Linked DNA regions of Canis lupus familiaris. The protein of the gene in region 3 interacts with the protein of the main gene of each other region in a biochemical or structural test. Links are inferred from orthologs where the notes say so. Each region holds a gene or a part of one and is shown on either strand. Other genes may lie near its edges. The genes, in order: RACK1, RASGRP3 and PRKCB.

Region 1 (8,308 bases), on a different chromosome or scaffold from region 3:
AGGTCATGTCAGAGTCACAGAACTCTGCATTTCTAGTAAAAAGATGGCCTTTTAAGATCACCAATCCTTGAACCATCAGGTTGTAGGTGGTATGTATTCCAAGAGAAGGTAATTAATAATCACTGCTAGATCGATCAATTTTCCTTCCAATGCCAGAACATGTACTCTGTTCACTGACAGTTAATCTGGTCCTCCCAAATCAACCTGGCTAATTTTATCACTTTACTTTATGTCAAAGACACACCAAGAATAAAGGAAGAGAGAAAAGGTAGAAGCCAAGTCACTTCAGAGACTCACTTACCTGGCCATCAGCAGACCAGGCCAGAGAGGTACACTGGGGTGGCTCTGCCTTGCTGCTGGTACTGATAACTTCTTGCTTTAGTTCATCTACAATGATCTTGCCTTCCAAGTCCTGGGGAATGGGCAAAATCAGGATAAGGAGGGACTCTGCTACAGGCATCCAGTTGGGAGTAGAGGCTGAGTATGTTACTGAACAGCCTAAAATACAGGAATGCCTCCCCCTGCCCCCAGAACAGTCTAGATCAACTTGTGCTGAAGTTGAGTAAGTTGTCATCCCCCTTAGTAGACAAGTGTCTGCCACCACTGCAGATCCCAGTCTTGGAAAGCTGTTACCTTGCTCTTCCTGGATCTCCACTGCTAGCCGCATGGTTAGCAGGTATTCAGAAAGCTCAAATCCCAGCAGTGACAGATCAGGAAATCACAACATTACCAGGACTCAGAGAGTACAGCCAGGTGTTCAGCCTTAACTGTAGCCCACACTCACCCAGATCTTGATGCTGGGGCCCGTGGCAGCACATAGCCAGTATCGGTTAGGACTGAAGCATAGGGCATTGATGATGTCTCCACCATCAAGTGTATAAAGGTGCTTGCCTTCATTGAGATCCCACAGCATGGCTTGGCCATCCTGGGAAGACAGGAAAGGTGAGTCAGGGCAATATGAAACCCATTGCAGTTGTTAATCTTAACTGCCTCAAAAATTTTTTTTATTACTTAACAGTCCCCCTTCCCCCGCAAACTTCCCAAAAACTAATGAATGATTCAAATACCAATATTTATCTCTGAATGCCTTTCCTTTAATGCAGGGCACCTCACCAACCCTACGATGTCTCTGACAACTTCTAAATAAATCAGTTCTGAAAAGAACAATCAGTTCTGAAAAGAACAGTTTCAAGAAACCAGCTTTACTGAAAACAATCTTTTTCTTTAAAACAGTATGCCTTATCTATGTCATTTCCAGGAAGCAATCTTAAGATATTTATTCTTGGTTGCTACCTCAATATCTTAAATATCTTTTTAAAACAGTCCCTCACTGAGTAGTAAACTCCCAGTTTCTGAATACCTTCCCTCCAGAAGCACAGAGAGATCCATCCGGAGAGACGGTCACGGTGTTCAAGTAGCCCGTGTGGCCGATGTGATTGGTCTTCAGCTTGCAGTTTGCCAGGTTCCATACCTAGGTTTGGTAAGGTGGAGGGTAAAAGGTGAAGAATCTGGCTCTGAACCAACTGGGGTCAGGACTGCTCAGGACAAAAAAGGCACGATTTACTTAATTTAAAAGCATTCCAGGACAGGGTGACCATTTTTCATTCTATCAGTAACAAAAATGTTAAAAAGAATTTGTCTTGGTCACCTAAGGGACAATCAAGATTAAAAAAGGTAACAAATGTTCTATGTGTTGCTTTATGAGGGACACTGGGCTTCATGAGCTACTTCAGACCAAATATCAAAAACCACTGGCCTGTACTTAGAAGAGTGCAACAGGAAAAGTGAACCGAGGGACAAAGCTTTCAAACTTAGATCCTATGACCACCTGAGAGGCAGTGGGAGAACATTCTGGCTGGTGAAGGCCCTATACCCTGGCTCCAAGCTCACCTTGACCAACTTGTCCCAACCACAGGAGACAATGATGGGATTGCTGCTATTAGGTGAAAATCGGACACAAGACACCCACTCTGAATGGCTCTCGTCCTGCAGAGGATGGAAAAGAAATTAGAGAAAGTATCCTGTCTCCATGAAACCAGAACCTCACCTTCCCTCAGTTACATGGAAGTGTTCACAACCCTAGAACCCAAACCATTAATATCAAGAGCTCCCTTTATAGAGTCCAGGCCAGGCTTAAAATCACCTTAAAGCCAAGGTTAAGAAGGGTGGGAGAGAAGTTTCTACATGTGCCTTCAGTTACCTGTACGGTGTACTTGCATACACCCAGGGTATTCCATAGCTTGATAGTTTTATCTCGCGACCCAGAAACAATTTGCCGGTTGTCGGAGGAGAAGGCCACACTCAGCACATCCTTGGTATGTCCTACAAATCTGCGTGTGGTGGTACCCCTGAGGAGGAGGACGTGGTCAGTCTCTAGATGCCTCAAACACTCTTCCACATCAGAATGTTTCCCTGGTCTGTTCCTGTCTCACTGGAGCTGCCATTACTCACATGACCCTGGACATAGGTCTGATCACAACAGGCCCATGGTTGAGCATATATGAGAGTATCCCTTCAGAATTGCAGGACATGTCCTCACTCCCACGTAGGGATTGGCTGACAATGTCATCTGTCATCACTGGGATGCTCATTATGCCCGGCCATCCAAGTACTGAGCTCCCAAGATAAAACATGTTCAACACTTGCCTACTCCCAACCACAGTATGTGGTAAAACTCAACCAGCCCACTCCTCTAACAATTCTGCATAACTAATTAAACCAGCAAGGATAGAAGCCAAACAATCCCAACTACCTTTTCTAGGTACTTTCTTGCCTTAAGTACCCACAATGAACCTCAATCTCCCTTGGAAACCACCGCCCAACAGCATCTACCTCATTTTTGCCTAGCCTTTGCCCAGTGTCCCAGAGTTAAATGAGCAGCTACTTGCGTTGTGAGATCCCAGAGACGAAGGGTTCCATCCCAGGAGCCTGAGAGGGCAAACTGGCCATCTGAGGAGATGACCACGTCACTAACAAAGTGGGAATGACCCCGAAGAGCACGCTGTGGGATGCCATAGTTAGTCTCATCCCTAGTCAGCTTCCACATGATGATCGTCTTATCTAAGGAGAGGTAAAAAAGAAAACTCAGTGAGTTAACAGCCCACTTGCTGACCTACTGGATAATCCAGGATCCCTCAGTGTCATCGGTGGACTTAAAAGGTAACAAATTAAGGACTCTCAAGGGGGAAGAACTACAGGGTGTGAGCTGTTACTAGTCAAGGCCAAGGTGATTGGCTATTCAAAAAAGATTCAAGTAGAACTAAGCAATGCCATGAAAATTAAACTCTGGTGTGCAGAACTTTAGCATATTATGGATGCCCCTTTCTGACAGATCAATTCAATTCTTGGAGTCTGATCTGAGGTCTAAAGCATAAACACTGCTGCTTGGCTGTGGGATTCCTACAATCACTAATGGCTGCATTCGGAAAAATTGCTTTACATCCTACCTGACTGGATGCTTTCACTGAAACGTGTTAGTAACAACAAGTTTTCCAATTACTCTCCAAACATGATCCTGGCCTCAGACTATTTTTTAATAGTGTGGGGGCCAGCAAAAGGCACAAGAAGCCTCCGAATGCTGCCAGGTTCAGTGAATGAAAAGAAACGAGGGGAGTTCTTGCAGTCTATCCACTAAGCACGGGCCGGGCGTAAGCTCAGAAACAGCCTCTGGTTCTCAGCACAGGTACTCAGATGGCATGTTGGCATCATCACCGCTCCGCCCGACCCCGTATCTCCTGAGCACACTCAGCTACACACCTACACACATCTGCGAGAAGATGGGCAAGAAATAAAACCCCAACCCTGCAATCCTCCTGGCGACCACGAGCTGACCTAGGTCTCCGTCTCTGCCAAGCGGGGATGGTTCGCGGGTTTATCCAAGCGGAGGCCGTGGCCCGGGTCCGCATGCCCCAACTCACACCCGGACGGAGTATTCCAAGTCGCCAAGCGACACGCGCAACCCACTTATCCCTCAATCCTTTGCCCCGCACCTTAGCCCGTACCTCGAGAAGCAGACAGTATCATGTCTGGGAATTGGGGAGTGGTGGCGATCTGAGTCACCCAGCCATTATGGCCCTTGAGGGTGCCACGAAGTGTCATCTGCTCAGTCATAGCGGCGGCGAGAGCGAGTGTCGCCGCGGCGACAAGGATGGAGATGGATAGTTCAGAAGGACTAGCAGCACAGCCGCTCCCGACAAGGCCCTCCAGAGGAAAAGAAGGAAAAGGTCCCCGCCGGAACCGGAAATACCCTCCCGTTCGAGCAAAAATGGCGGCCCCCGTTATTCACTCCTGCCTAAGATGGCGGCGCCTCGTAAGTCAAAAGGCGAGATGAAATGGCAAAACTTTATGGTCGCCTCCGCCATGCAACATAATTTGGCAGTGCCATGCCAAGTCATTCTGAAACCAACTCCACCAGGTGTTTAAAAAGGCCCCTCAAACATCCACTGAGGCGTGATGTATAAGAAGACGAAGAGGGGACGGGCACAGACAGCATGTTCCCATAAGGAACGTCCGGCGCCTTCCCTGCCCCCACGTGGCACAGCGCGAGCCCTGCCTTTTCCGCTTGGTGGTCTGGAGGGCCAGGCTGAGGGAGCTCAATTTCGAGGTGAGAACTGCCAGTAACGGTAAGGAATATGAAAAATATGGTATTCAGTTTTTGAAATACACTGTACTTAGGTGAACCAGTAAACTCTGACTGATTTCCTTCGCAGAGGGCAACTCCTCCCTGGAGAGGTTTTTGCTTTGAGGGAATTGGCTGAGGCACTCCCTGTCCGGAAGGACCTAGTCCAGGCAGAAGTAAACACAGGAACAGGTTACGGAGCGGAAAACCGGGGAGGAACGAACAATCGGCCCGTGGGCTGCATGTCCGTCCCCGGCTCCCACCTGGGCAGGAGCGCGGAGAGCCGACGCAGAGACAGAGACCCCGAGAGCAAAGGCCTCCGGGTTCTGACTTACGGGTCTCGAGTGAAAGCGGGCTCTGAGCCTCACCGCCTCTCAGGCAGGTCTGCGGGTCTGGGGAGTCCAGACGTGCCCCTAAGGAGGTTCCACCTGCCTGGGACACCGTGGATCAGGGTTCCCAGGTTGCCTACCGGCCTCCTGTTTAGCCGCATGGTACGTGAATATGTAGTGCCTCCTTGATAACTGAGAGACGATGCTGGCAGGCAGCGCTCCTGTCACATATTTTTTGAAGGGGGAGAGGTACCAGGGTGGTACCATTCGCTATCATCTAAGCAAAATAAGGGGGGGGGGAATTATACATAATAAGTATTTATTTTCTGTTTGTAACATGTATTAATTTTAGTTTCATATCTGTGAAATGAGGTTGGAAATAATAGTACCCACCCAAAATGGTGTTGAAAAGAGTAAATGAGTTATGGTAGGTAAAGGGCCCAGAACAATGCTTGGCAGAATAAATGCAGGCAAACTTAGCACCTCTTGGGTACCAGGCCCTGTTTTAGGTCTTGAGGGATACAGCTGTGAGCAAGAGGGGGGTGAGGACCAGGTTTTTTTGGAGTTTACATTTGATGGAGTGAGGGGGAAGGAAATTGGAGCAAAGAGACGAAGAAGGAGACAGCCCTGTGGATACACGGGAGGATAAGGTTCTGGGGGCAGGGATGCTCAGTGCAAAACATCCTGGAGGTGTTGGAAGTGCTGAAAACCGAACAGTGAGATAGGCGTGAGGGGCAGCTGACAGAGGGCCCGCAGTCTGGGGGAAAGAACATGGCTCCTCAGGGTGGTTGCTGTTCTGAGTAGGCTTCAAGGGCTCCAGTTGCGAAGGTCATTTAAATGCCTCCGTAGCACCCCCAATTAGCTGTCTTTTTCTTCTAACACTAAACTCGAAGTCGACCCCAACCCTGACCTGTTTTGGTAATGGGAGACCCTTACTTTCACCCACACCAGTATCCAGTTCACTGTTCATAGCTCGGGTCGTGCCAGTGCCCTGGGCGGTTGGGACAAATAGAGAGGTGAGAGATTTCCACGCTGTGGAAATGCACAGAGCAAACACTCCCCTGTGTTGGCCTGTACATGCAGAGGATTTCCTCTCAGTTCAAGAATACGCGTTCCTTCATCTCCTGCCTTCACCCAAGAGATCCTTGGTTAGTCATATTATATTTACTCCTCTCGAGAAATCTCATTTGGCTCTCTGTATTCTTGAATTTTGCTAAGGAGCCCCTGTGGAATCAACATCTCTGAAAGAGGGCCAGGAGGACAGGTTTAAAACAAGCCTCCCAGGTCTCTCACGCATGCTCAAGGACTCGACCTTTCGTCACCACCAGGCCCCTTTCCAGAGGGGGCCGTTCCTCGGCTAGCCTCGTCCTCCCCAGGCTCACCTCTGCGCAGCCCTTTCCCAGAGTCCTCTGGCCACAGAGACCAAGATTTCTGTAGGTGTCTTTGGCCTCCCGCAATTCCATGGGCGTCTCCCTGTACCGGCCCCTGGCAGTGCCCCCTCCTCTGGGGCCAAGGGGGGGAATCTCGGGTTTTCCCCTGGAACCCACCAATACCCATCTGGCAATGTCAGCAGAGGAGAGGGAGAAATGGAATATAGTGGAGTTCCCAGATGACCAGACTGTAGGATTTGGGCTTTTCCACCTTGGAGTTTTTCTCCAATCATCACCACCTGGTCTCTCCTCTCTTGGAGAAGATTCTGGCAAGCCACAAAACCACTGAGGGGTATTCATGAATTGAGGGAGGCCTGACCCTGACTCTGGGGACACTTTGGGTATAGCTAGGGGCAGGGATGGCATGTAGCAGCAGCCTTTCCCTCTCAGCCCAAGCTGGAGTTGAGCCCCATACATGCCTGCTTCCGTTTGGGGCCCCAAGGCTCCCTGCTAGGCATGTGGACCCACCTGGACTCCTCAAGCCTGGCCCTTTCCAGGGGGCTGACTTCTCTTGGCTGCTAGACGCATCCTAAGAATAAGCCTGTGCTTTCCACAGTAGTCTGCTGCCTGCCCAAGCAGGCCTGGGTCCGGCCTTTGGGCCTTTTCATCCTGGGTCTTTGATCTTTCCCTCTAGGAGGCAGAAATCTGTTGGAGGGCTCCACCTGACCTTGGGTGAAATTGGGGAAAGTTACTCTGCAGAGCCTTCTTTCAGCTCCCCAGGCCACCCCTCTCGTATGTTCCCCACCCACTGGTCCCATGCCCTGGGCTGCCTGTCCTCTCCTCTGTCCCCACTGGCAGCCTGTCCTCTGGGCTGCCTGTCCTCTCCCATGTCCCCACTGGCAGCACTTCCATTCCCACACAAGGTAAACATCCCAAAAGAGAATTTGGAGATTCTTTTCTAAGGAAGTCTGTCTCACCATTCCTTTTCTGCTGGGAATCCCTAAGATCAGCACAGCGGGGAGAAGCCCCTCTGGTTTCCCTGCTAGAGGCCCATGACCTCTTCTAGGAACAGAGGCCTCTGTTCCCTCCTGCCAGCATTCAGGAGGTGAGACAGGTCTTCCCTTGAATGAAGTGATGAGTACTGTTGTGGGTGATAGGTGAGGGGCTGAGGGAAAAGGTTGCGGCCAAGACTACAGGGCCTCTGTCAGCTAAAGCAAGTGTCTTCCCTTCATTTTGCTGTTCCTCTGTAGATTCAGTATGGTTGGCACCATACTCCTTTTATGGCTACGCTGGCTCTCCCCATTCCTCCATCAGTTCTCTCCCACACAGGAGGCCCACTATATCCCACCCCCACTTTCCTTAGTTAACTAAGCTTCCTCAGGTCTCAATTCAGGTTGTACCTCAGAGAAACCCTCTGTGACTCTCAAGTCTGGGTTAGGCTCCTTGTTTCATGCCCTGATTGTGTGGTGTGTGGGGCCTCCACAAACTTAACTCAATCTGCCCTTATTTGAATCTGTCAGGGCTTTACTCAGTGCCCTGAGGTCAGGGACTGGTCTGTTTTGTCTCATATGCTGTTGCTGGTACAGGGTTTGGTTGTGGAAGATTCTAACCTTGGTCACCAGCCTCATAGGCTGAATAGTTAAAACCAAGTATTTAAAGGGTGTTTCAGGTGGAGGGATCACCATGGGGAAGAGGTATTAGAGTGGTTTGCATGCAGAAGTTTGGGGGATCGTTTCAAATGGGAAGGTAGGAGAGTGAAACCCAAGGTGTTCAGGGAGCCCCTACTGGGAAGGAGTTGTCTGCTGAAGAATTTTGTCCTGAAGCCTAGGACTGCCTCATCAGTATTATCTAATCCCTCTCCTGCCTAGACTTGATTTTGCTGACAGTCATTCGTTGTCAGTAGAAGGTAGGTTGGAGGAGTAAGACAAGAAATAAGAGGAATTCAGAAGCTGGACAGGAGGGTCTATAGGATGGTCATGAGAGCCCTACAA
Region 2 (6,885 bases), on a different chromosome or scaffold from region 3:
TTAAATATTGCTTGTCTTTGTGCATTTTAGCACAGGACCTGCCTAAAGCAGGTGGTCAAGTGTTTGCTGAGTAGAACTGTCCTTAATTTTATCTAATGGAAAAAGAGAAGAAAGGCATTTATTTACTGAAGTGACTGCCCCAAATATAAATAAATTCAATCTTGTATGGTTTATACATTTAAACTTCCAATGAAGACCAGTGCACTTCTGTGGGGCCATAATTTCACACTGGCCACATGGCAGCAGGTCACTCCCCTCGTCCACTGGCTCAATTCAATCTCTATTTGAACACCTTGAACTAAGTTCTCTCTCCTCTAATCATGTAAAAAACAGACCCACCTGTAGCTCTGTAGGTCAAAGGGAGACATTGAAAAATACTGATACCTTAAAAGCTAAATAAAATATTAATCAAAGGTTTCTGAGGATTTGATTTCTATGACTACTCTTTAATTATGGATGGCAATTTCTTCGGAAGAGGACAAAAGTTCTCTTTTATAATCAAAACTTTTCTTTTTTTAACAAACAAAGTTCTTAAAACTGTTTTGAATTTTTAAAGATTGCTGGTTGTTTTTCATTTCACTAAGTGGTTTGCTTGTTGGTTTGCTTCTCTCCTAAATTTTATCCGCCCAAACTTTAATTGATTTTGTAATCACTATCCACATTTCTTACTGGCAGTCTTAACAGGAGTCTTAAGAAAAATGGCTAAACATAGTCAGCTGAGACAAGTATACTTAATTTTCCCCCACAGCAATTATAAATATCAGGAGATTTTCATGGCTGTGTCATAGCTTCCTTAGGATGCAGAATTGGTAAGACTTATATGAACATAAATGTATGACCTGTTACACATTGTGACAGCGACTGTAGGGTAAGAACAATGTAAACATCTCTTTACGTTAGAAGAACCACCTCATTCCAGGATCTGAAGAGCTTTCTTTGTCCCCTCAAGAAAATAAGTCCTGGTCCCATCCAAAAAGCACACAAAAAAAGACCTCTAAATTGACTCCTCCCCCACCAAAAGTTTATAAAAATACTGAAATAATATTCTCACAAAAAAAGTAGAGTTCAGAGAATGAGTATCAAGTACATGCAGAAAAGCTTTCACTTCACTCATATATAAATGGCTCTAGAGAAAGATACAGGAGAAATCTACTAGCTACATCACCCAGTCTTGGTAGCACCTGACTAGGGCCTGGGAAGGAGGAAATAAATAGTTCATAGGGTAAATCCTCTGTCCCATAGTCCAATCAGGGAGACCCCATGGTGTCACCAAGCAGTAAAAGTCCCAGATATCTTTTCAGATAACTTCCTGAGTTGGAGTGTTCTTCAGAGTTTCTCATCTTGCTCCTTCCAAATGCTGACATCATTGCCTCCAGTGTCCTCAGCCTGAAGTCAGCCATCCTGCAACATGAATCAGAACCTGTTGTATGGCTGGGTCACACTTAATAAAACAAGAATATTCTTAGAAAGCAGTTTATCAGTTACATTTGAGGGAACATCTGAAATGATCACTTTGATCAAATGATCAAGCACTTTGTACTCTTAAGATTTAGAGGGAATTAAAAGATCATGTATTCTACACAGCACATGAAATCTTAAATCTTATTCAACAAGTTTGCTTACATTAATGTTTCCTAAGAGGGGCTCCACAAAACACTGGTCTATGAAATATTTCTTGTTGAGGTTTCTCTCTTAGAAAAACACAATGTAAACTTGGGTAAGAGCACTGAGAAAATTTGTATGAGAGAAAAGATACATATCTATATAGGTATATGTAGAGATATGCAGAGAGAGCTATACATAAACATATCAAAACTTACAATAAACTGCATAAGACTTAAGATAATTTCTGGCCTCCTTATTAATTGTCTTCAATGAGGAAAGAACTAGAGGAATTTGGGTTAAAGGTCACTGGAGTTTTTCTCATCACAGGAAACCAAGGGGACTGTGTATTTAGGTCTCCCTAAAGAACGGAATGTGAAGGACTACCCATAAGAATAAAGAGCACTGGCTTGATTCAATAGGTTCTCTGCCTAACCCAATAATTCTGTTTATGAGAACGACTCCATAGGGAGGCTATGGCTGCCCTCCATGGCATGGCTTGAAAGGTTAGGAATATGACACTGATTTCCCCAAATCTTTTTTCTTAATACATTACGGACTGTTGACTAATAAATTTATCTAAGTCTAACTTGAATCAATTTATATTTTCAGCTTATTCTAACAAATTCCACATGCTTCCAATCTGCTTTGGATGATGTGAATGTCATTTTTATGTGGAGCCAGGGCCTGGCTTATAGAACCTTCAGGCTCCTATGTCTCTGATTCTCACCACCCCTGCTTCTCCATGATGCTGTCAAAAGACTTTTTTTTGCAGGTGTTGGGGGTGGTAAGGGCAAAAGTTTCCAACTCTTCTTCTCTATCTGCAAGTCTTTTGCTTCCACTGCCCATCACCCTCCCTCCCCTACCCTGATTCTAGCTTGGAAAACTAAACTGATACAGGTACTGGCCTATTGGATACACACAGTGAGTCATGGATCCCTGGGACATCATATCAGTCCACAGAAATGACAGCCTCACTAAGCTTTGGAATCCATCTGGTTCAATTTTATATATTAGGGAATTGAGGTGCAAAGAGAAGAAATCATTTGCCTGGGATCATATAACAAGCCAAGAGTAAGATGAAAAGTGGTATGTGTTAATGTGCAACCACTCAGCTCTCAAAACTAGTAGGCTAGGGGTACCTGGGTGGCTCAGTGGATTGGGTGTCTGCTTTCAGTTTAGGTCATGATCGCAAGGTCTGGGGATCAAGCCGCATGTTGGACTCCCTGTTCAGTGAGGAGCCTGCTTCTCCCTCTCTCTCTCTTTCATTCACTCTCAAATAAATAAATAAAATCTTAAAAAAAAAAAAAAGAAACCTACTAGGCTGTCTCCTGGACTCACTATAATGGTTGTCTCAGCCCCTTTTAGCCTCCTTCTTGTGATTTTACTTGTGCTTTGACCCAGAACTGACCTCACCATCCTGTCTGGTCTCACCCACGTCTGCTTCATCCTGGTCAGGCTCAAACTCGGTACCCCGGTCCACAACATCCACACCAGCCTGCACCCTGGGCTTCTCATTTTCCCACTTGGCAAAACCTTTGTCCTTTGCTGCTTTGTCATGGAACTTGGATTTCATTTTGGGGAAGGTATGCGACCCTGAGTCCCCCCAGCCAGCCTCTGACCATACAGGCTCGGTCTGAGTGGCCTGGCTGGTGGTAGCCCTCTGCAGCCTCACAGAGATCTTGCGAGAAGAGCCTGTAACCAGTGTGATGGCTCTGCTGTCCAGGTCTCGGTGTCCTGCAGCCACGCCTGGGAACTCGAACACCTCATCCTGCACTGGAAGAGGAGAGACTGTTGTGATTATTTGACATCTGATTGCTTTAGAGCAAACTGTCAAAGCTGGTGCAAATCACAGGAGTCCGATGAGCAAGGCCCTAGAAGGACAGACCAGAGGTGGACCCAAACTGCCTGCAGGTGAAATGCATAGATGTGAGACCTGAGAGCAGAGAGAAGCAGGTGGGAGTCAAGGGTATAGCCATAGCTACTCACCCTGAAGTAGGGTGTTTATAATGACTCTGACCAGGTTCAGATCCAGAACCCAATGAAAGGCCAATATGGAAAGATGAGCAGAAGGAAATTGAGGTAGAAAAGAAAGCAGAGGATCTTACCTGGGGGCAATGAGGGGCTTCCAGGCAGTGACCCATGACTACTGCCCAAGGAGGGAGCACGAGCAAATCTCCTACAGGCCAGAACCAGGAGGTCTTTGCACTGTTTGTGACAATTGGCTCCACAGTCTGAAAAATCACCAAGTATCACAAACGATTAGTGGCAACCATGTGCACCTGGTGCTGACTGGGCTGCCAGGGTGCCCCTGAGCTGTTGGCTGTGCCCTCCCCCTCCTCTGCTCCATGTTGACTCAGAGTCCAACTCAGGCCAGCAGAGTGTGTCTAGGGACCAGAGAAAGGCCAGTGGGACTTACTTGCCTCCCCGGGGTTCCTCTCACACTTGCTTAACTTCTTCCTCTACACAATTCATTGAGGCGCTGGGGAGCAAACCAGCAGGGCATAGACCTAGCAGGGAGTTGCCTTTGCCCCAAACTAAATGCCAATTCCATGGGACTGGGGTTGCCTCCCAGGCTCCACCAAGAGGCTCCTTGAGCCAGAATGAGGGAAAGAAACCCCAACTTCTAGTGTCTTCTAGGCCCAACAGCTGCCTCCGCTCATTTACAGTCAGGTATCCCTTTATTCGGTATCTGCCTGCATTTTATTATTCTTCTTCATTCCTCCAATTTTTTTAAAATATTTTTTTATTTATTCACGAGAGACACGGAGAGAGGCAGAGACAAAGGCAGAGGGAGAAGCAGGTTCCCTGCAGGGAGCCTGATGCAGGACTGGATCCCAGGACTCCAGGATCACGACCTGAGCCGAAGGCAGATGCTCAACCACCGAGCCACCAGGCATCCCCCTCTAAATCTTTTCTAGAACAAGGGATCTTATCTCCTGCTTCCTGTCTTTGCATAGAAACAGAAAACAAGATGGGCTTATGCCCAATAACATATTCTAGATTTGATTATGGCTTTGAAATGGCAGCAGACTCTGTAAAACTCCCATTAGAATGCTTTAGTTAAGAAAGTAGACTATAAATTGCTACTTAGAGTAGAAAACTTGGGCTGCTTTGCAAAAGAGAAACACAGTTATTTCCCATAGAGGGTTCTACATTTCTCTTAGAAATGAACAGATAGGATCATTTTAAAGAGCGTATTTCTCCCTATCAAAGAGGATCTTTCTAATTCTTTCCAATACTCGCTTTCCCCTCAAATGATCTTATTTCAAATACTCTTGTAATGACAGCATGGAAAGACTAAATTATAATGAAATGTTGTCTATTTTAATTAATTTTAACATTCTTTTGCCTTTAAGAGAAAATACTGTATATACACAGATGATCCAAGGGTTTAATTGATTTTCATCTTCATAAAAGTGTGTTTATATGTGTGTGTGTGTCTGTCTTTAGAGGATAAGGGTCAGAAACCAGAATAAAACTATAGCTAGGTGGTAAGATATCTTTGCTGTATCTTTGCTGCTTGAAAGTACAAATCCAAGTTACACTCAGACAACTAATACCAAGAACTAAAGGGAAGGTTTTTGAGATGAAAAGGTGGCTCCTATTGAGCTTCAGGAAACTCTGTTCATACAACATGAGGACCAAATCCTAAAAGATAGCTAGGGAAAAAAGGCACCAAAAGGCAATAGTATTAATCTGAAAGCATTCTGTAATGAAAATGTTTTCTTTTGTAGTGATATCTTTCAAGAGCATTGTCAGATTCTTAAAACCATCAGTAAACTATCCAGTAATTTCTTTATTTAAACACCAATAATATATGGCGGGTGGGGAGATGGGGTCACTGGGTGATAGGCATTAAGGAGGGCACATGATGTAATGAGCACTGGGTGTTATATGCAACTGATGAATCACTAAACTCTATCCCTGAAACTAATAAAAGAGTATATGCTAATTAATTGACTTTAAATAAAATTTAAAAATAAACATCAATAATATATAATGATCATATAGGCACTAGTGTCAAGAGTCCTAAGTGCCTATTAATATGCATGTATATTGCATTTATCAAGTTATATTTCTTTATTTGTTAATAAACTTCAATTAATTGGGGAACCATATGAACAAATTCATTGAAAGGGACAAAAATAAGTTTTAAGGAGAAACTTTAAATCTGTTTTTCATCCATCATCTGTGATTTAGTGGCAAAAGGAATAGCTAGCTGTATGTGAGAGCAGAAAGAAAGGCATATGTATTACAGGAATGAGTATGTGCTTATTCCCATGAAGGACAAAGTTCTTTTATATGGTATTTTAGTTAGGCCTTTTCCACTCCAAAATTCTCACCCTAACTGTGTGATGTTTCACAAGACATCCTAGTGAAGAGGCCACATGTCTGTGGGTTGATAAGGGTGGTTTGCTTGCTCTTGCAAGCAAGAATTGTGAAATTCTGATTGAGGCTATCCAGAACTGCAGGGATTTTTTTCCCTAGACACATTACCTTCTTCAGTTGCCAGTGGCCCAAAGACCTGAGTTCTCCAAGATGCCAAGAGTTTCTGTAGTTTTGTCAGACACACGGACATTTTAACATTTTACAACATAACATTTATTTACCTTTGCATTTGTATCCTTGCTTGATTATGCCCCAGAGCTGTAACAAAAGACAAAAGAATGTCAGAGAATCTGAATTAAAATCTGGAAAAAACAAAACAAGGCCAGAGAGAAGGAAGTCCTGGGAAGCATGATGGCTGGTAGAGCACAAACAGGATGTAACTGATCCTGACACCCTTCCTGTCAGATAGAAGAATGGTCTCCTAGCTCACTCCAGCTGGGGTGATAACAGTTGTGCTTCCCTTTTCTATCTGAAAGCCAAATGGGAGCCGGGATGGGAGACTGATATTGGTACATTTATTGGACCTTGGTATAATGAGTTCTCAGCAAAATTTACTGGGGAGACTGTCACTGTTCTTGGAAGCCCCCAGCTCCCTCTGCCTTCTTTTTAATCACTCCAGCTGCTCTTGGCGCCCCCTAACGAAATAAAGCAAACATGGTGCATATCCCACTAACGCGCTTGCGTGGTACTAGGCTCTTTTCTGAGTAGCATTTGTACCCTGAAAGAATACAGAGAAGGAAAAGATCTATTTGTTCACGTAGTCATTCTCTGATTGCTCAGTGTTTGGCCTGTGCCAGGGCTCAGGGAGATGCAGAAAGCTTTCAGATTGTGCCAACCCCAGAGGAAGTAGGATGTAGGAAGTGACAAGTGCCTCTGGAGAGATGTGAGGGC
Region 3 (8,316 bases):
AGTCACAGATACTGTGGATATTTCTCTTATACTTTGGTGCTCACCATAACCCTATGAGGTAGGTACCATTAGCCCCCATTTTACAGGTCAGGAAACTGAGGCCACTATGGGTGGGTGACTTACCCAAGCTTACACAGCAAGTAGGTGGCAGAGCAGAGATTCAAATCCAGTTCTGACTCCAACCCCATGCTATTAATTCTGAATTTCTAAATTTTATTGCCTCCCTATTCCTACTAAAGTAACTTCCTTTCAAAGAAAAAGTTCTCTCTGCCAAATTGCAAAAGCTTCTTGGGGTTAAGAGTCTAATTCCACCCAAAGGCTTGTCTTCATTACAATTAATGCACAAATGAAGGTTCTGGTGTCCTCTAAAGAATGCTTTAGAGGAAAATCTGCCTTGCTTCTCTGAGGGGTCCCACTTCTCATCTAGAATTTAGTCAGTTTCTTAATAGGGACGCTCGGCCCCAGTGCCTGTCATCAGACATTCATAGACTACCTCACGGAATGGTTTTATAGAAAATAGAGTGGTAACAAAAGGGGAAAAATCATGTGGCAGTCAATCTAGAATTCTATCCTCTAGCAGTACAAAAACAAGGAAGTCTAAAGCTCCCCTGGGCACACAGAAATCCCTAATTTCCCATGGTTGATAGACTTTCCATCTTTCCTCCCTCAACCCATCCCAGCACCCCCAATTTCCATGACAGCACAAGGGAGCATGGAGACTCTGTGGGTTCCCCGCCTGAGGATTATCCTACATACCTCCTACCCAAAGATAGTGCAAATTATACCCCCTCTCCCCTTCTACTTTTTTAAAGATTTATTTGAGAGAAAGTGCGAGAGAGCACAGAAGGTAGGGGCAGGGGATGCCTGGGTGGCTCAGTGGTTGAGCATCTGCCTTTGACTCAGTTCATGATCCCAGGGTCTTGAGATCGAGTCCCACATTGGGCTCCCCACAGGGAGCCTGCTTCTCCCTCTGCCTATGTTTCTGCTTCTCTCTCTGTGTCTCTCATGAATAAATAAATAAAATCTTAAAACAAAAAAAAAAGGGCAGCCCTGGTGGCGCAGCGGTTTGGCGCTGCCTGCAGCCTAGGGCGTGATCCTGGAGACCCTGGATCGAGTCCCACATCAGGCTCTCTGCGTGGTGTCTGCATCTCCCTCTGCCTGTGTCTCTGCCTCTCTCTCTCTGTGTGTGTGCCTCTATGAATAAATAAATTGAAAGAAATGTTTTGTTTTGTTTTTTAAAAAGGTAGGGGCAGAGGAAGAGGGAGTCTTAAGCAGACTCCACGTTGAGCACAAACCAAACACGGAGCTCAATCCCATGATCCTGCAATCAACGACCTGAGCCAAAACCAAGAGTCTGATGATCAAGGGACTTTGCCACCCAGATGCCCCTCCCCTTCTATTTTTGAAATGGAAGAACTCCCTGCCCTAACTTGTAGCCCAAAAGAGGGCTACCTGAAATTAACATTACATTGTCCATTCATGTAGTTAGGTGTGGGTGTGTGATTTGTAGTTAGGTGTGGTGTGTGATTAAGCTTAAGTCCTAGCTAACAGCATATAGGCAGAAGTATCTTGCAGCAACTTCCATAAGTGACAGTGAGCATATGGCCTTTGCCTTTCTTTTACGCTTTCCTCCTTCCTGCTAGCTGAAATAAAGATGTGATGACTAGATAGTCTAGCATCTTGGACTATGGGATAAGTGTCACTTCTGGATGGTGGAACTGAAAACTGGAAGAAACTAGGACCCACCCTGGGCTCTGGACTGCTGACTTAACTGAAGGAATAAAACCATACATATTCTCTATAAAATGTGGAACTCATTTTAATCAGGTGTACTTTTTCTAAAAGATTTTTTTTTTTTTTTTTGGGGAAACAGAGAGTACATGTGCATGCAGCAGGGGAGGGATAGGGGAGGAAGAGAGAATTTCAAGCAGGCTCCACACCCAGTGTGGAGCCCAACATCCGGGTTCGATCTCAGGACCCTGAGATCATGACCTGAGCCAAAATCAAGGGTCAGATGTTTAACCAATTGAAACACCCAAGTGCCCCTACACAGCAACTTTTTAAAGTAAGTACTATTTATTGGACCCATTTTATAGACAAGGAATCTGAGCTAAATAAGATGGTTGGGAAGTCCCAAAAGCCAAGATTCAAAACCACAGTGACCTGCCTGATGGCCTGTACATACACCCGCTACCCTACACTGCCTCTCAGGGAGAAGAGAAAAAGAAAGCTGATAAAATAGTAAGTACTGTCTACCTCTAAAGTTGCCATATTTGATTAGAAAGTTTAATTCCGCTGTACTCTCACTACACCAGAAAATTCCTACCACTTTCCAGGTTTTGAAAAACAGGATCTCCTGTTATCACCTACACATTCCAGAGTGCCTGCCCCAAGCATCAGTAACTACAGAGCAGGTGGAAAAGTAGCAGTAAAAATGTTCAAAATTCACCCCCAATCCCAGCAAGCGACAAAGACAGAAACTCATTCATGAAAGTGAAAGGTAACCTCAAAGATCATCTACACATTCCAGCACTAAGATGCCACTGGTATTGTGCTTTAGGGGCCAAAGTTCTAGGAAACAATCTAACTGTTTGCAACAGATTCTAAGCTATTGCTACTTTAAAGGGATTTGGGAAGATGTGAAACTAATATAACATTGTAAATTAATTGTACTTCGATTAAAATAATAATACAATAGGGGCGCCTGGGTGGCTTAGTCCATTAAGCATCTGCCTCCAGCTCTGGTCATGACCCCGGGGTCCTGAGATGGAGTCCCCACATCAGGCTCCCTGCTTAGCAGGGAGCCTGCTTCTCCCTCCCCCTCTGCTGTTCCCCCTGCTTGTGCTCTCTCTCTCTCTCTCTCTGTCAAATAAATAAATAAATATTTTTAAAATAATAATAAAATTTTAAAAAGAGTATATAAAGCTGAAAAAAATAATAAAGGGATTTGGGAAGTCCTCTGGTGCAGAGCGTGAGACTGGGGTTCTACTCCTTGGTAAGAGAGGCTGGGCAGGTCTGCAAGGTTCACTGGATGAGCCAGCTCTTCCCTGGATCTCAGGTGAGGGAGGGAACCTACAAGTCTTCTGAGACGGCAGTGCCATGCTGCCAGCATCCTGTACAACTGACAATGCCACCCACACTCACCAGGGATCACTTGACTTTTCCCTGGAGGGTGGAGTGCTACAACACCACAGACACAGCTAAGTCACATCTCTGACTCTTGAAGGCTTAATGCTTTCTTCTGATCAAACCCAGTTCCCCAGGGCAGTCAATGTACCCCTACGACACACTCCAGAAATGAGACAGTTCTCCCCAAACTCAACCACATCTGGCCAAAAATTGGGGAGGGAAAAAAAATTTCCAGAACATTAGTTGCAAACTCAAATGTCTACAGGAGCCAGAAACTGGTGAAACAAGCCCAGCTGGGAAGGACTGGGATGAAATGGTGAATGTACGCCCCGTCTATGAAAATAGCTCCAAATGACTGTTCCAACAAGAAAGTGGGACCAAATCTTCGCAAACTGGAAGCTGAAAATTCAAGTATCTGGGTAAAATCTCCCGGTTCTAAAGGTTGACATCAAATTCAAAAAATGTTCGACAGCCCAAAGGCTAAATAGGTCCATAGGCAACTTGACCCTGGAGGGTGAATTTACAACCAGAGACGGCCAAGGCCACCTTGCACACGGTTAAAAGTCACCACGAGGTTGAGCATCCCTGGCTAGGGTCAAGGACCTCGAACCAGGTGCAAGGACCCAGGTTGCCAGTCACTTGGAGTCCTTCCTGTATGCAGCCAGAAGATAGAAAGGGCGATTTAAACCCATGTCTGAGAAGCACCCCATCTGGAGTGACCTTTTTTTGGGAGAGAGGAGGCCCAGGGGACACCCACAGTCACCCTTCCAGGGGATGCACCATATGCAGAGGCAGCAGCCACCTGTGGAGACTTCTGTGAAGCAGGGGAAGGGACAGAACCTCACTCTGCGAGATGAGCAAGGGCGAGTGAGCAGGAATTAGGGAGAGGAGGGCGTCCTCCCAGAAATGGCCCCTGGGGACCCTTGCTCCAGAAGCAAGACTGACCAAGCGGGATAGGTTCAGGAGACAGAACTGGACGCTTTGCTGCCAGGAAGGGAGAAAGGGTGCACGCTCTTCCTTGGCAGGTAGGGCCTCTGGCTCCACCCGCCTTTCCTGGATGGAGCATCACTGCCTGCACACACAGCCCTTCAAAGGGCCCTTTTGCGGTGGTACAGTCCCAGCTTGGCAGGTCACTCTGTCCTTCGCCTTCTGCCTAACTCAGTCACTTCTAGAAAGTGTTTTCACCATCTCTTCCACAAAAGGCATTCCCGGAGCCCCACAGCCTACCTTGGCACTGGAATCCTTGCTTCCCGAAGCCCCTGCAAAGGCAGAAAGAGGCACGTCAGGCAGCCCTAGGGGCCCAGCCACCGGCTAGTTCCCCCCTTCCCCGGCCTCTCTACCCCAGGTGCAACCTCCTAGCCGCAGGCGGGTGCCCAAGAGTCTTCCGCCTTTGGGGGAAGGGGGCAGCTGAGCGGTAACCCCCACCTCCCCTCGGAAGGCAGAAGAAAGGAGGCTGCGACCACCAGGTGGCGGGATGGGGGGAGCGGTTCCGTCGCGGGAAGTGGGGGGCAGGCGGGAGGTCTGCCCACAGAGATGCCCGAGGACCTTCGGGGAACGAGAAGCGATAAAGACGCATCCAGACGGATCCAGACGGAGGAGGAGAGAGAGACCCCGAGGCGGTGGAGTTCCCTGGGGGAACTGGGGAGACAGAAAAGGCTCCCCCAGCCCAGGGCGACGGGGGAGAAAAGTCCCCGCAGGGACGCGAAGGGGAAACGCGAAGGGGACACTGAGGAGCGCGAAGGGGACCCGTGGCCCGCAGGGAAGCGCAACCATCGATAACCCAGGGCGCCAGGCGGGAGACACGGGAGGGGAGCAGAGGATGCCCCGCGCCCGCGGGAAGGCAGAGAGAGGACACCCAGGGCGCTGCCCCCGGAAAGCAGGGGAGGGGGTACAGGCGCCGCGGGCCCGGAAGGAGGCGGGGAGACGGGGAAGCCCGGCGAGCGGGCACTCGAGGCGCTGCCCCCCCAGGGGCCAGGGACGGCCACCCCGCGCTCCGAGCAGGTGCAGAGCCGGCGCCCGCGCCACGGCCCCGGGGCGCTCCCGAGGGGGCTGGGGGGGAGACCGGGCAAGGAGGCGCCCCGCGGCCGGGGCGGGGGCCGGGGCGGGGGCCGGGGGGGGGGGGGGGGGGGGGGGAGGGGGGGCGCAGGACTGGGCACCCGGGCGTCCGGGGCCCCGGGAGGGTGCCCTGCGCCGCGCGCTCTCACCAGATGAAGTCGGTGCAGTGGCTGCAGAAGGTGGGCTGCTTGAAGAAGCGGGCGGTGAATTTGTGGTTCTTCACCTCGTGCACGTTCTTCTGCCGGAGGGCGCCTTTGCGGGCGAAGCGCACGGTGCTCTCCTCGCCCTCGCTCGGCGGCGGCCCCGCAGCCGGGTCAGCCATCTTGCGCGCGGGGAGCGGGAGCCGAGAGGTGCCGGCCCCGGGGCCGCGGGGCCGCGGGCGGCGGGCCCGGGAGGCGCGCGAGGAGGCGGCCGCTGCTGCCGCCCGGGGCCGCGGGCGCTTCCCCTGCGCCGCTCTGGCCGCCGCGGCGCGCGGAGCTGGGGCTGTCACTCGCCCAGCTGCCGCCGCTCGTCCAGCTGCGCGAGGCACCGCTGGCCCCAGCTGCGGGGGAGGGAGGCGGGGCCACGGCGGGCCCCGCCCCCTTCATTTGCATGGCGCCCGGGCCCCGCCCAGCGCCGCCAGCTGCTTTGCATATTGGCACCCCGAGGCGAAGCGCTCCGAGCCGCAGCGCTGCGGCGCGGGGCCCGCAGCCTGCGATGCCCGGACCTGAGCCCGCCGCCTCCCCGCTGCGGGGCGCCGGGGTTGCACTAGGGGCGGAGGGCGGGACGGGCACCTTGAGGGCGCCCCCCGCGGAAGGACCGGCGGGGACTCGGGGTGGGGGTGCGCGGTGGCGAGGGTGGGCGCCACGGATTCCACCCGGCCTCTGCAGAGACCGGTGCCCGTCCACCCCGCATCCATCCCATTGGTCATTCCGCACGCGTCTCCTGGAGGGATGGGCTCCCGCTGTCACTCATTCGGAAAGGCCTGTGGCTCCACACACTTACACACACAGACGCACACACGTACTGCAGAGGTAGGGGAGGAGCAATCTTAGTTTATATATCGGTAGGTATACATCTCCGCCACAAAGGCCATTCTTGGCTTTGCTTGCCCAACATTTAAAAGAGAGCTCCCTATACCGTCTGTCCATCCCATCCCCAAAGAGACTCACTTTCCTCAACTGTAAAATGGGGCTGGTGAGGGGACCCATCTTCACAAACGCTGGTCGTATTTGTGCACCATCTGAAAGGAAAGAAAAAAAAAAAGTCTTTCTGGTTTCTTAGTTTGAATGGCAAAAGATATCCGTAGTAGTACAATCTCTCCAGATGCTGCCACCTGCCCAAAGCATCTGCATCTGAAGCCTTCTTTTATCTGTTAGAGACTGACATTAACAAATATTAGAAAGATGCTAACGGCACACTCATATCCACCGGGACGCTCTCCTGGATGGAATCGGGAGGATGGAAAGGTAACCAAAAGAATGATAATTGTGTAGATGAGTAGATAACGCAGTGTGATGTAGCGCCCTACTGTGTCTCAATATCTGCACCCCCCATACCCCACCGTCTGGGAACACAGCACTACATTAGACTATAAACTCCTTCACTAGATCTACTTTCTGAGAGCAGGCACTGCTCACCATTGTGTCATCAGAGCCAAGCTCCATGCCTGACACCTCCTCGAAGCTCAGTAAATGTTTGTTGAATGAGTAAGTGACTGTGTGAATAAGTGAGTGAATGAAAGCTTAAAGGACATTGCCCCTTGCCTCTCACCATGTCCTGTAGGTGTTCGGTAATAATAAACATCAAGCGCTCGGTACCTCCACTGCATTACTTAGTCCTTGCCACAACAACCCCATGTAAGTCCAGAATTTTCATTATGGATAAAGACAGTGAGGCTCAGAGTGATTAATATGTGCACCCAGAGTCCCAGTGTTGTCGAATGGAGATTAGGGCAGCCTAAACTACAAAGTACGTTCGTGATGAAGGCGTGAAGGAGAGCAGGGTGGAGTTGAAGCAGCTACACAGAACTTCTGCCTAATGAAGCTCAGGTCCCACTATGACGATTTCACCTGGAAGCCCCTGAGTGGTAAGTCATTATTAGGCTGCATGTGGAGAGCAGCAGCTGTGATAATAGAATGTCCCTCTGCTGCATAGTAATTCAAAGGTAAGGAGGAAAAAATAGCCTTCACTTTTAAGGTTGACATGTTTTGGAAACTGGACGTGCCTGTCTATTATTAGTCCTTTAAGAGGCCCCATTGCCAATCTGGGAGGCTTGGGGAAACATCCCAGGAGACATCTCTGCTGAAGTAGATTTCCTTTGAACCGATGAGCTGGAAGCTTGCAGCCCACATCCTGCCTTTTGAACGAAGTGCACTGGTTGACTTTGCTCTGTAACAACAAACAGCACCTCATGGGGCCAGAGCCTAGAGATGCAAGGGCTGGTGGATCCCAAAGAAATACTGGATTCTTGGAGGGTCTATACCATCTGAGCATGAGGAAACATAGTTGCCATTGGACCCAGATCCCTTAGAGCAGGAGTCTCAAATTGGTGGCCCTTGGATGCATTTTTTTTTTTTTTTTTTAGCCAGCCAAGCAAATACTTTTTTGGTTCATATTCGGTAGAATTTCACCTAAATTTTGAGATTCTGACTTCTCTAGGAAGCAGGATATGGTTACACGGAATCTACATTCCTCCTCTCACTCATGCATTCACTCATTCATGTAGCAATAAATTTATTGAGCACCTGCAATATGCTATTCCACACATTGTTAAATAAAACAGACAGAAGGTCTGGCCTTCATGGAACTTACAGTCTAATAGGGAGGATAGACAATAACCTAATAAATAAACTAACAAATCTGTACCAGGTGGTGTAGAAATTGATGCCATAAAGAACAATGAAGCATGATAAAGGAATGAAAAGTGACAGCAGACAGGGATATCCTTTCTCATAAAGGGAAAAGACCTGAATGAAATGAGAGGGTGAGCCATGGGGCTGCCTGAAGGTAGAGTGTTCCAGACAGAGAAAACAAGCAAATGCAAAAGGATCAGGAGAAGGAGGGCTTGGCATGTTGGAGAAGTAGCAAGGAGGCCTCTGTGACTGGAGTGGAAAGAGGAGAGACAAAGGGTACAAGACAAGATCAATTAGG

Evidence for each region.
Region 1: the proteins of PRKCB (region 3) and RACK1 form a complex in vitro, tested with the Homo sapiens proteins (2 studies listed by BioGRID). The link is inferred for Canis lupus familiaris from reciprocal best matches to the Homo sapiens genes PRKCB and RACK1.
Region 2: of the proteins of PRKCB (region 3) and RASGRP3, one has a biochemical effect on the other in vitro, tested with the Homo sapiens proteins (2 studies listed by BioGRID). The link is inferred for Canis lupus familiaris from reciprocal best matches to the Homo sapiens genes PRKCB and RASGRP3.

What each region holds. Positions count from the first base shown.
Region 1 is NC_049232.1:610,202-618,509, forward strand, and holds the start of RACK1 (receptor of activated protein C kinase 1), read right to left. Parts: upstream 4,231-8,308; 5' UTR 4,111-4,230; coding exon 4,002-4,110; intron 3,718-4,001; exon of another isoform or gene 3,650-3,717; intron 3,061-3,649; coding exon 2,889-3,060; intron 2,587-2,888; exon of another isoform or gene 2,508-2,586; intron 2,349-2,507; coding exon 2,201-2,348; intron 1,987-2,200; coding exon 1,891-1,986; intron 1,472-1,890; coding exon 1,361-1,471; intron 926-1,360; coding exon 785-925; intron 413-784; coding exon 302-412; intron 1-301. UniProt on the Homo sapiens protein: Scaffolding protein involved in the recruitment, assembly and/or regulation of a variety of signaling molecules. Interacts with a wide variety of proteins and plays a role in many cellular processes.
Region 2 is NC_049238.1:26,744,808-26,751,692, reverse strand, and holds part of RASGRP3 (ras guanyl-releasing protein 3), read right to left. Parts: intron 6,253-6,885; coding exon 6,216-6,252; intron 3,837-6,215; coding exon 3,711-3,836; intron 3,379-3,710; coding exon 3,014-3,378; intron 1,402-3,013; coding exon 1,393-1,401; 3' UTR 1-1,392. UniProt on the Homo sapiens protein: Guanine nucleotide exchange factor (GEF) for Ras and Rap1.
Region 3 is NC_049227.1:22,302,539-22,310,854, forward strand, and holds the start of PRKCB (protein kinase C beta type), read right to left. Parts: upstream 5,538-8,316; 5' UTR 5,507-5,537; coding exon 5,334-5,506; intron 4,389-5,333; coding exon 4,357-4,388; intron 1-4,356. UniProt on the Homo sapiens protein: Calcium-activated, phospholipid- and diacylglycerol (DAG)-dependent serine/threonine-protein kinase involved in various cellular processes such as regulation of the B-cell receptor (BCR) signalosome, oxidative stress-induced apoptosis, androgen receptor-dependent transcription regulation, insulin signaling and endothelial cells proliferation.